2 linked regions of the Oryzias latipes genome follow. The protein of the gene in region 2 interacts with the protein of the main gene of each other region in a pairwise test. Links are inferred from orthologs where the notes say so. Each region holds a gene or a part of one and is shown on either strand. Other genes may lie near its edges.

Region 1 (4,358 bases), on a different chromosome or scaffold from region 2:
TCGTATAAGTCATTAACTGCAAAATGGTTGACTAAGTTGTCATAATGTGACAAAAATATTTCGCTGCATTGCAAGAGAGGATATTCGCTGTGATGTGGATGAGAATTTGTGGCCTAACATACAGGAACGACAAGAGGTGTAGGAAGACCACACCAATTCCTACTGCACTGCCTGTACTGTTGTACAGAATATTGTCCTATCTTTTTTTTCCCTTTGTGTTACTGTTTGCAGTGGGTTTTTTCTATGTTGGTATGACATGGTCTGTCAACAAATTACAATATGAACGATAAAAGTGTTAATGTGAATCTTGTCCAGTCTCTTGCAATCAAACATAAAAGGTGTAACTTACATTTTACAATAATTGTCATTGTCATCCAAACTTTAGCCATAGTTTACATCAGAACCTCCCTCTAAAGTACACAGTTATACTGACAACATGACTAAGTAATTCGACTGTCTTGTTCGTAGACAATGACACAAGGACTTGACATTCTGATGGCACTGACATGTTCAATGACATAAAGACTTAGTTTTCAGAGATGAACTAAAGATTTTGAGCACGTTACAGGCTTTTGCAAGAAATCCATAGTGTTTTGCTGTTTGTACAAATTGTTTTGAGAAATGCACACACGTATTTGCAAACTTCAATTCTGATCTGAGAATTGTACCAAAGCGACTGAGAAAAACTGGAAAAAGGACCATGGTAAAGCATTGCAATCATTTAGGGTACAGACAGCCTTCATATTAAAGGAACTTCAAAGATTACAGGGCTTATGCTGCCTGTGATGCAGTGCATCCATCTTTTGTTTTCAGGCTTTGGTGGTTTACAATTGCTTACAAAAAATAACAAAGTTACTCTAGAAGCTCTGGTGATGAATTAGGCAGAAAAATGAGAGGTTGTTGCATTGAAAAGCATATCGTAATAGAATATTAGTGTGTTTGAATGATGGAACAATTGAGCAAAACTGATCAGAATTGACATCCATACATATTGTGTGTCCTTCTGTGCTTTTCAGTGAGTATTTATTTAACTTTTGTTTCTTACACTAACCATTTAACGTTTTCAATTACAAAAAAATTGACAAAATCTGAAAGAAATACACATATTGGTCAGCAAACAACATCTTTAATTAATCCAGCACACAAATAAACATGTGGGCTAGTTGCATCATGTTAATTTAAAAATAAATAAATAATTGTCAAAACACAAAAAAACTTTCATGTTTTTTCCAAACAAATAAGCTTATGAAAATAATTTAACAACTCATAAATGTTTTGTCACACCACATAAGATGATTGAATTTTCCTGTTTGCTAAAAAATAAAAATAAAAAAAGTACTTTGAAATGCCTCCGTGTAAAAAAAGTTAATATTAATAAAAGCAAATTAAAACTGATAAATATACTAATTAATTAGGAGTTGCCTTTCTTCTGGAATAAATTACATTTTAAAAGAAGAGTGCGTCCTCCCGGTCCTCCCTGGTTGACCATGCAGTGGATCTGTCTCGGCGGAGTGGGGTCACGCCGGACGTGATGGGCGTGGTTTCGGATCATTCTCGATTGCTGAGCAGAGCCTTGAAGATCCGCGGCTTGGGTTTCTGGCCAAATTCTTGGTTTTAATCATTTTAGAAATGGTAAGTTTTTCTGTTATTTTATGTGCGTGTACGAGATGTTTATTTACTGAGAATGTTGTTGCGTTAATTTGCGTTTTGTGTCAAGTAATTGGTGCGATCGCGCTTAGCTTGAGGTGAACTAGCGGGAAGACTCGATGAAAATGGCGCCGAGTATGATAGAGGCCAACGTCGGTTCAACTTCAGCCGGATCACTTCTACAGCTAAAATATCAACCGATTTCTCAAGGACTTTCAGTGTTTTCGTGTTTACAGCGTTTGGACTAAAGTAAAGTTTTAAGTAAATCGTGGAATTTTTTCACGGGGTCTATTATAGTTGGCTACTTAACGTAATGTCGCTAAAACTTTTAAGCTAACATTCACGTGTCTGCTTGCCTTGCTTTAGCAAATACATACGGAATCGTATTACGGGGGATTTTTGTTTCGTTTCTGATATTTTTAAGAACTAAAACAGGCTGGGAACTAACCTCATCTGCTCCTGAAATAAAACGATAAGATGACCTCTAAGTTGAAAACTCATGTGTCCGTGTCACAGACTTGATCCGTTTTGTTTACACTAGTGGCGGCCACGTGCACGTTGGGTCTGCTGGCAGCAGGGGATTGTGGGATGCGATCCCCTGGTCAAAATAGGGCTGAGCATGGCATGGGTGTTTTTTTTTTTTTTTTTTGCCCACGTTTCTTTTCATATGGCTGTTTTGTTGTTCCACCCTTAGTTAATTCTTCCTGTTATGTTTGTTTCTTTTTGTTGCACTATGAGTGTGGAAGGGGGAGAGGGTGATGACCCATGTGCAATGTTCAGTGTTGTGAGTCCAAAATAAATGGGCTTGAAGCCTCGTCCTCTCTGAGACTGTTCGGAGTGGGGTGGTGTATGAGAGACGGACAGCTCTCCAGCGCAGCCACTTGAATGACAGCTCGGCTTTCATTTACCCCGCTATGAGTGACTTATTAGCGGGGTCGTTACAATAGCACCATTCTGATTTGTTCTTACTTACTGTGTTAACCTCAAACATTACAGAGAGACCCCCCACCACCACCACCACACACAAACGCGCTGTGACAATATATTGAGGAAGTATCTATAAAAAAATGTGTAAATATACCTAAAATAGTATCTTTTAACATTAACAAATAAAAAAAAGGAATGTAAATCCACTTTCAACAAATATTAACTTTATTTAGCCACACAGAAGCCCTGTTCTAGTCTTAAACAGAAAAGAAGCTTAAAGTGCCTGAAATAAAAATTCGTTATTTAAACTAGAAACATTTTGACCAACTGACCCATTTGATGCTGAGAAAAATAATTCAATCAATAAATAATATTAAATGTAAATTGTTCTGAAACATTAACACAGCAGCACCAATACATTTAACGTTTTTAGTCTGAAGAAATAAGTCAAAAAAACATTGTGCTGATTTTTCCTTTTTCTAAATGATGATTGTTTATTTATCATCTCAAAAAGTGCAGCAGTTTACTTCACTACCTGCTTTATTTCTGTCAAATACTGACACCAACTAAACGACAGGCAGACAAAGAATACATTTATGGAAAACAAAGACACGTCATCAAAATGTCTTCAATACTTAATAAAAAATGACATTATTAGTATGAGCTAAGTCATCTAAAGCAGTGTTTTTCAACCAGTGTGCCGCGGCACACTAGTGTGCCGTGGGAGATGGTCAAGTGTGCCGTGGAAAATTGCCCTCATTAACTGATCTAAAAACATTTCCCATCTCCAGGATTTCAGCTCTGTGTTCATCCAAACAGGCCCTGATAAAACACTGAGGAGTTAGGAATATAAAAGATCGTAAAATACTTTTTCTTTGCGTTTATTTTATTTTATTAAAGACATTTTGATAAGAATGACCGTACCGCGATTCAGCTGCAGCTCCGGCTGTATTTGGGAAAAGTCCCGTCCCTTTGACTGTCTCCACCAATCATTCTTGAGGGGCTTAATCACATGTCATCAGTCTGACCAATCAGAAGTGGTTAAAGTCTTCACTTCCTTGTCCCGATTTAGCTCGTAAAGTCGCTCAGTTCTAACAAAAATACCAGCTAAAGCTCGTCTTTAGCGCTGTAGCTTTCCACAGAATCCGGTATCAGACCGTGGAACAAGTGAACAAAACAATGAAGCTCCGAAAACCGATCTCCGGCCGTTTTATGCACTACATCTCCCATGATGCATTGGGTTGTGAGAGTGACAGGGCACAAGGAGATCTGTCGTTAGACGTCTTGAAACCAACGAACACACATCAAACTATTTTTAAATCTTCTAACTTAACTTTTATTGAATCTTTTAGAAAAAAACAGCTGCAGTTTCCAGCTTTTTCTGCAACAATTATCTCCAAAATGCATGTGAGATTGTGGAGGGGCTGTAGATCAATACAGACTATGAGTTTATCCTTTTTTTTTTTAATTTTTGGATGCTGGTGTGCCGCGGGATTTTTTTTTAAGGTTAAAGTGTGCCGTGGCTCAGAAAAGGTTGAAAAACACTGATCTAAAGGCACGCCATGATCCTGGTATTGGGCAACAGGCAGCGCTTGCAGCTCTCTTCGTGCCCCGTTTCACCTGGCAACCTGAGCCCACACTACCCCTCCCCTTTCGTTCTCACACACGTGTGACAGGAGAGCAGCTGCACGGACGGGGATTCACAGGTTTCAGGCTGTCATAAACTCTGCGATTTAACAGACAATAGGAATAGTGGCGCAGATTTTTTTCCCAAGCACTGAGCC
Region 2 (4,392 bases):
AGCGGTATGTGTGGGAGATTTAAGACTGCGATCCGTCCCGCAGCTCTAGGGGTACGAGCTATCAAACTCAGAACCGGGTCTAAACGTGTGTCTGAGCACAGCTCGGATCGTCAGCACACACAGCGGTTTGAGCTTCAAAGCAGAAATGTCGCTCAGTCCTTAGAAAACATTCAAACAATCACGTGGATTTGTGTTTCCAGTCGTGTCCCGACTAAATAAAGGCTGATGTTATTCACAGCATGCAGCGCCACCCAAAGCTAATGTTGTTAGCCTGTGTTAACATACTGCTAATCCTGGCTACGTTCAGAAAAAGCACTGACCACACGGATTAAAATTCAAATGATGAGCGAACAGGTGTTTCATAATAACCGTAACATTATTAAAAGCACGTTTAGAAGATCGTCTCGTATTTTACCGAGCTGACATGTCAATGTATATAGCTGCTCGCCGCTGTTATCGTTTTGTATTGAATTGTTATATTCAATAAAGTTTGGAAAAAAAGCCGCTCGGCGGAAGTTGTATCCTCTTCCGGTTTTCAAACTGCGCATGTGCGAATACTGCGCGTGTGCGAATGATTTATTCCGACCGAAATTGTGACCTTAGTGAACGTTTTTATATTCTGAAAACATTTTTCTGGGCCCATGTACACGGTTGGATACTAATCCGACCATTGATCCCATCAAGATATTTTGTACATGTAACCGCGGCTTATGATGTCGACGCGCAACGTGGCGGGGGCGTGGCATCACGATGGTGGTCTCTCCATCGGGATGTCAGTCACCCATCACAATGGACGATGATATCGTCCATCGGCACAACCCTACTTCACATCAAACTACATAGTAGTGCAGCAGTTTGTAATTAAGGCTTATACCTGATCAACATGGTTAGAATCTCCAGTAGGCCAGCGATGTTTACTGATTGTGCAACCAACAAGCTGCTCTCCGGGCTGTCTCTGAAAGAAGTACCCGACTGTGGCATCATCCTGAGATCTCCCGCTCAGCGGAGGTTGGGGTGTACCCGGAGTAAGGTTGGGATTCCTGTCCATGCCTTGTAGGTGCCCAGCACCCCCAACTGTGGTTAGGGGACCTCCAGCATGAACCCTAATGCCCCCGGTCTCAGGAGCGCCATTTGCGTGCAGCACCCCACCCCTCGTCTCCTGCCAGCCCACGTCATTCATACCTAGGATGCTGCATGGAACGCTCATTCCACGGGAAAACCTACACAGACAAAGCATGAAGAAATGCTACATTAATATGAACACATCGACATGCCTAAATATCACCCAAAATCTATTAGCTATGCTTATGTTGTTTTTAGCCAAAAATCAGTAAACCTGTGTCATTTTCTAGGACATAGTTTATGCAGAGCTGCGCAAGTTCATCAGAAATGTGCCTCCTAGTTGTGGAAGGGAATAGTGGCGTGGAGTAAGCCTGCCCCCACTTCCCACCATCCCTCTGTTTACACTCTGTCCTGCTAGCTTGATGTCCTGCATCACCAGAGAAATGACACAGGAGCATGTAAAAAACAAAATTTACACCGGACTCGGTCGTTAACGAGTTTTATTTATTAAAATGTGTTCTGCCAAAGTTATATTGACGTTAAGAGCCTGTTTCATGATGTTTTTAGCTGAAAGGTTAGTTTTTAAATCAAAATAAAATCGAACTTCTAGGTTCATAAGAAAACATCAAAACTATTTGTTGCTTAAAATATAAGTTCTGCTTTATCATGGAAAGCCTACAAGGTGGTTCTAATAAAAGGATTCACTCAGAATTATAAGTATTTTCCACGTAATCACTTCTTCTTAAGCAGCTTAATTACCCAACAGTCATTTCTGCTTTTTGAATTAGTTTTATTTCGATTGCTGGCTTATAGCATTCAAATTTGTCAGTAAAATAACTCCGTAGTTATAGTGTGGTCACGAATAAACTTGTTGGTGCAGCATTAGCATACAATATTAATAAACATATGCAAGCCTAAAAATCACGATGGTAAAGATTTATGGGTAATTTTAACCACGATAACATAAATGTTTTCTCTTACAAAATTGTTATTTTGGTCAAGGCAAAAACTATAAACGATCATTGTTGTATAATTTTGAAAATTAATTTAAACGGCAAAAATTAAGCGTTTAGTGTTGAGACAAATCAAAGAACAAACCGCTTTGCTAAGCTTGCTAGCAAGTCCGGTGCTAATGAGCAAGCTAAGTTAGCAGCAATTAGCAATTTTTTAAAACGAAAAATAAAGATTATTGTTACAGACTCAGTGGCAGTTGTCACGGGTGTGTTAAATTAGCTTTGAATAATCACACTAATTAAACAAAACATGTTCACGCCAAAAGACATCATTTAGAAGCTCGCCTTCGCAACATCCATGGCTAACCGGCTAATGCTAAGGAAAGCGGGCCTGTTGTGTTTGTTTTTGGTTTGTTACAACCAGACGTCAAATTCAGTTTGGGAATTAAACAATCCTAACCAGCAAAGTAGTGGAGATTTTAAATGATTTAGTTTGCAAAATGGCTTGTAATCATTTCTTACTTTTTCCTGACTCTGTCAATCACATTCAAATATGTTCAACAGTTCAAGCAACCCATGTCAGCTAAAATAGAAGCTAATTGCTGTTTTGAGAGCTAAAGCATCAGCCAAACACTCAGCGGCTAAACAACATGGCCCCCCTCAAGTTCCAAATAGAGGGGCCTTTACCGCTAAACAAAAGAGAAAATATTAATCTTGCGGTAACTGCTTCAAGGCGGTCGTCTCGTAGCGCCCGTGTTTGTATTATGAGCACAAAAGGGGGGAAAATACTCACGCCTTTTTGTATCGAGAGAGGATCTGTGCTCGCTGCACACCGTCAACCCTATTCTATATTGTTTTGTTTCCTTGAGTGCGGTGATTTAGCTTCAGCTAAGCGCTGTGCCTTCGCTGGTGCCCCCTCCCTGTAAATAGAGCGAACTACGTGGACACACACGTCTAACAAAGCTAATGTAAATCTATCTTTCCTGTATCATGTGTATCATGTACTCTTCAAACGCATATCAGCTCCTGACGGGTTGAAAAAATTCAAAAACAAACAACTCCGAAACAAAAAAACAAAAACAAAAATCGACCTATTTGTACTTATCTGAAAACTTTATCATCTGTGTATCTGATTTCTATTTACAGGTTTATTCTACAAATTTGAGGCTAATGTATATAAATTAGCTAACATAAAAATAATATTTAAAAAAAGCTATACATGAAGATTAAAAAAAAATCCGTGATTCCGCTTTATTTAACAGATTTTGGTGATTTTAGAAGCCGGTATGGTTCTTCTTGTTTTTGGACACGCCCCTTACTCCATAGGAGCCAATCATCTTTCATCTCCCAAAGTGTGATCTCACCTCCCCATTTCCGATTGGATTGCTATATTTAGGAAAGCGCACAGGCTTTATAAAACCACCCACTGGCCTGTAGATGGTTGGGAGTTTTTTTTTAATTAAGTGTCTGGTTTAACTGGTTAGATTTTGCCCACAAAAACAGGGTCAGCAGCACCAGAAGACAAAGAAGAAGACCGCGTCAGTATCTTTGGATGATTCGCCTGAGGGGGACCTCCTAGGAAAAGGCAGGAATGGCAGACATACGGAAGAAGCTGGTGGTGGTCGGGGATGGCGCATGCGGGAAAACGTGTCTGCTCATTGTGTTTAGCAGGGACGAGTTCCCCGAAGTGTACGTTCCGACTGTGTTTGAGACGTATGTGGCGGACATTGAGGTGGACAACAACAAGCAGGTCCAGCTTGCTTTGTGGGACACGGCCGGACAGGAAGACTACGACCGCCTGCGCCCGCTCTCCTACCCGGACACTGATGTCATCCTCATGTGTTTCTCCGTGGACAGCCCCGACTCGCTGCAAAACATCCCGGAAAAGTGGGTCCCCGAGGTGAAACACTTTTGCCCGAACGTGCCGATTATTCTGGTGGGCAACAAGAAGGACCTGCGCAACGACGAAAACACCAAGAACGAGCTGTCTCGCTTGAAGCTGGAGCCCGTGAAGGCGGAGGACGGACGCGCCATGGCGGCGCGTATCGGCGCCTATGACTATTTGGAGTGCTCTGCCAAAACCAAAGAGGGGATCTGGGAGGTTTTTGAAACGGCAACGCGAGCGGCCTTGCAAAAGCGGAGAACACCCGGAGATGGTTGTTTTAAATGCTGCGTTTTAATGTGAATCATCTGCTATCCATCCGCTGAGGCGTCTGGACACGCGTGGGCCTGATGGTTTGGGCACTCCCCTGCTGGAGTCATACGCCCTTGATTGAGCCACACACTGACTGAATACAAGCAGACTGTATTCCCTCATTTCCCCCCCGAGCACGCATGAATATCAACAAATGTTTGTATTTTTTGTTTTTTGTTCTTT

Evidence for each region.
Region 1: the proteins of pum2 (region 2) and dazl interact in a two-hybrid assay, tested with the Homo sapiens proteins (2 studies listed by BioGRID and IntAct). The link is inferred for Oryzias latipes from reciprocal best matches to the Homo sapiens genes PUM2 and DAZL.

What each region holds. Positions count from the first base shown.
Region 1 is NC_019869.2:11,023,547-11,027,904, forward strand, and holds the start of dazl (deleted in azoospermia-like), read left to right. Parts: upstream 1-1,484; 5' UTR 1,485-1,629; coding exon 1,630-1,632; intron 1,633-4,358. UniProt on the Homo sapiens protein: RNA-binding protein, which is essential for gametogenesis in both males and females. Plays a central role during spermatogenesis.
Region 2 is NC_019882.2:6,547,396-6,551,787, forward strand, and holds the start of pum2 (pumilio homolog 2), read right to left. Parts: upstream 2,937-4,392; 5' UTR 2,809-2,936; intron 1,221-2,808; 5' UTR 1,208-1,220; coding exon 875-1,207; intron 1-874. Other genes in the region: rho-related GTP-binding protein RhoB, read left to right, coding at 3,607-4,200. UniProt on the Homo sapiens protein: Sequence-specific RNA-binding protein that acts as a post-transcriptional repressor by binding the 3'-UTR of mRNA targets.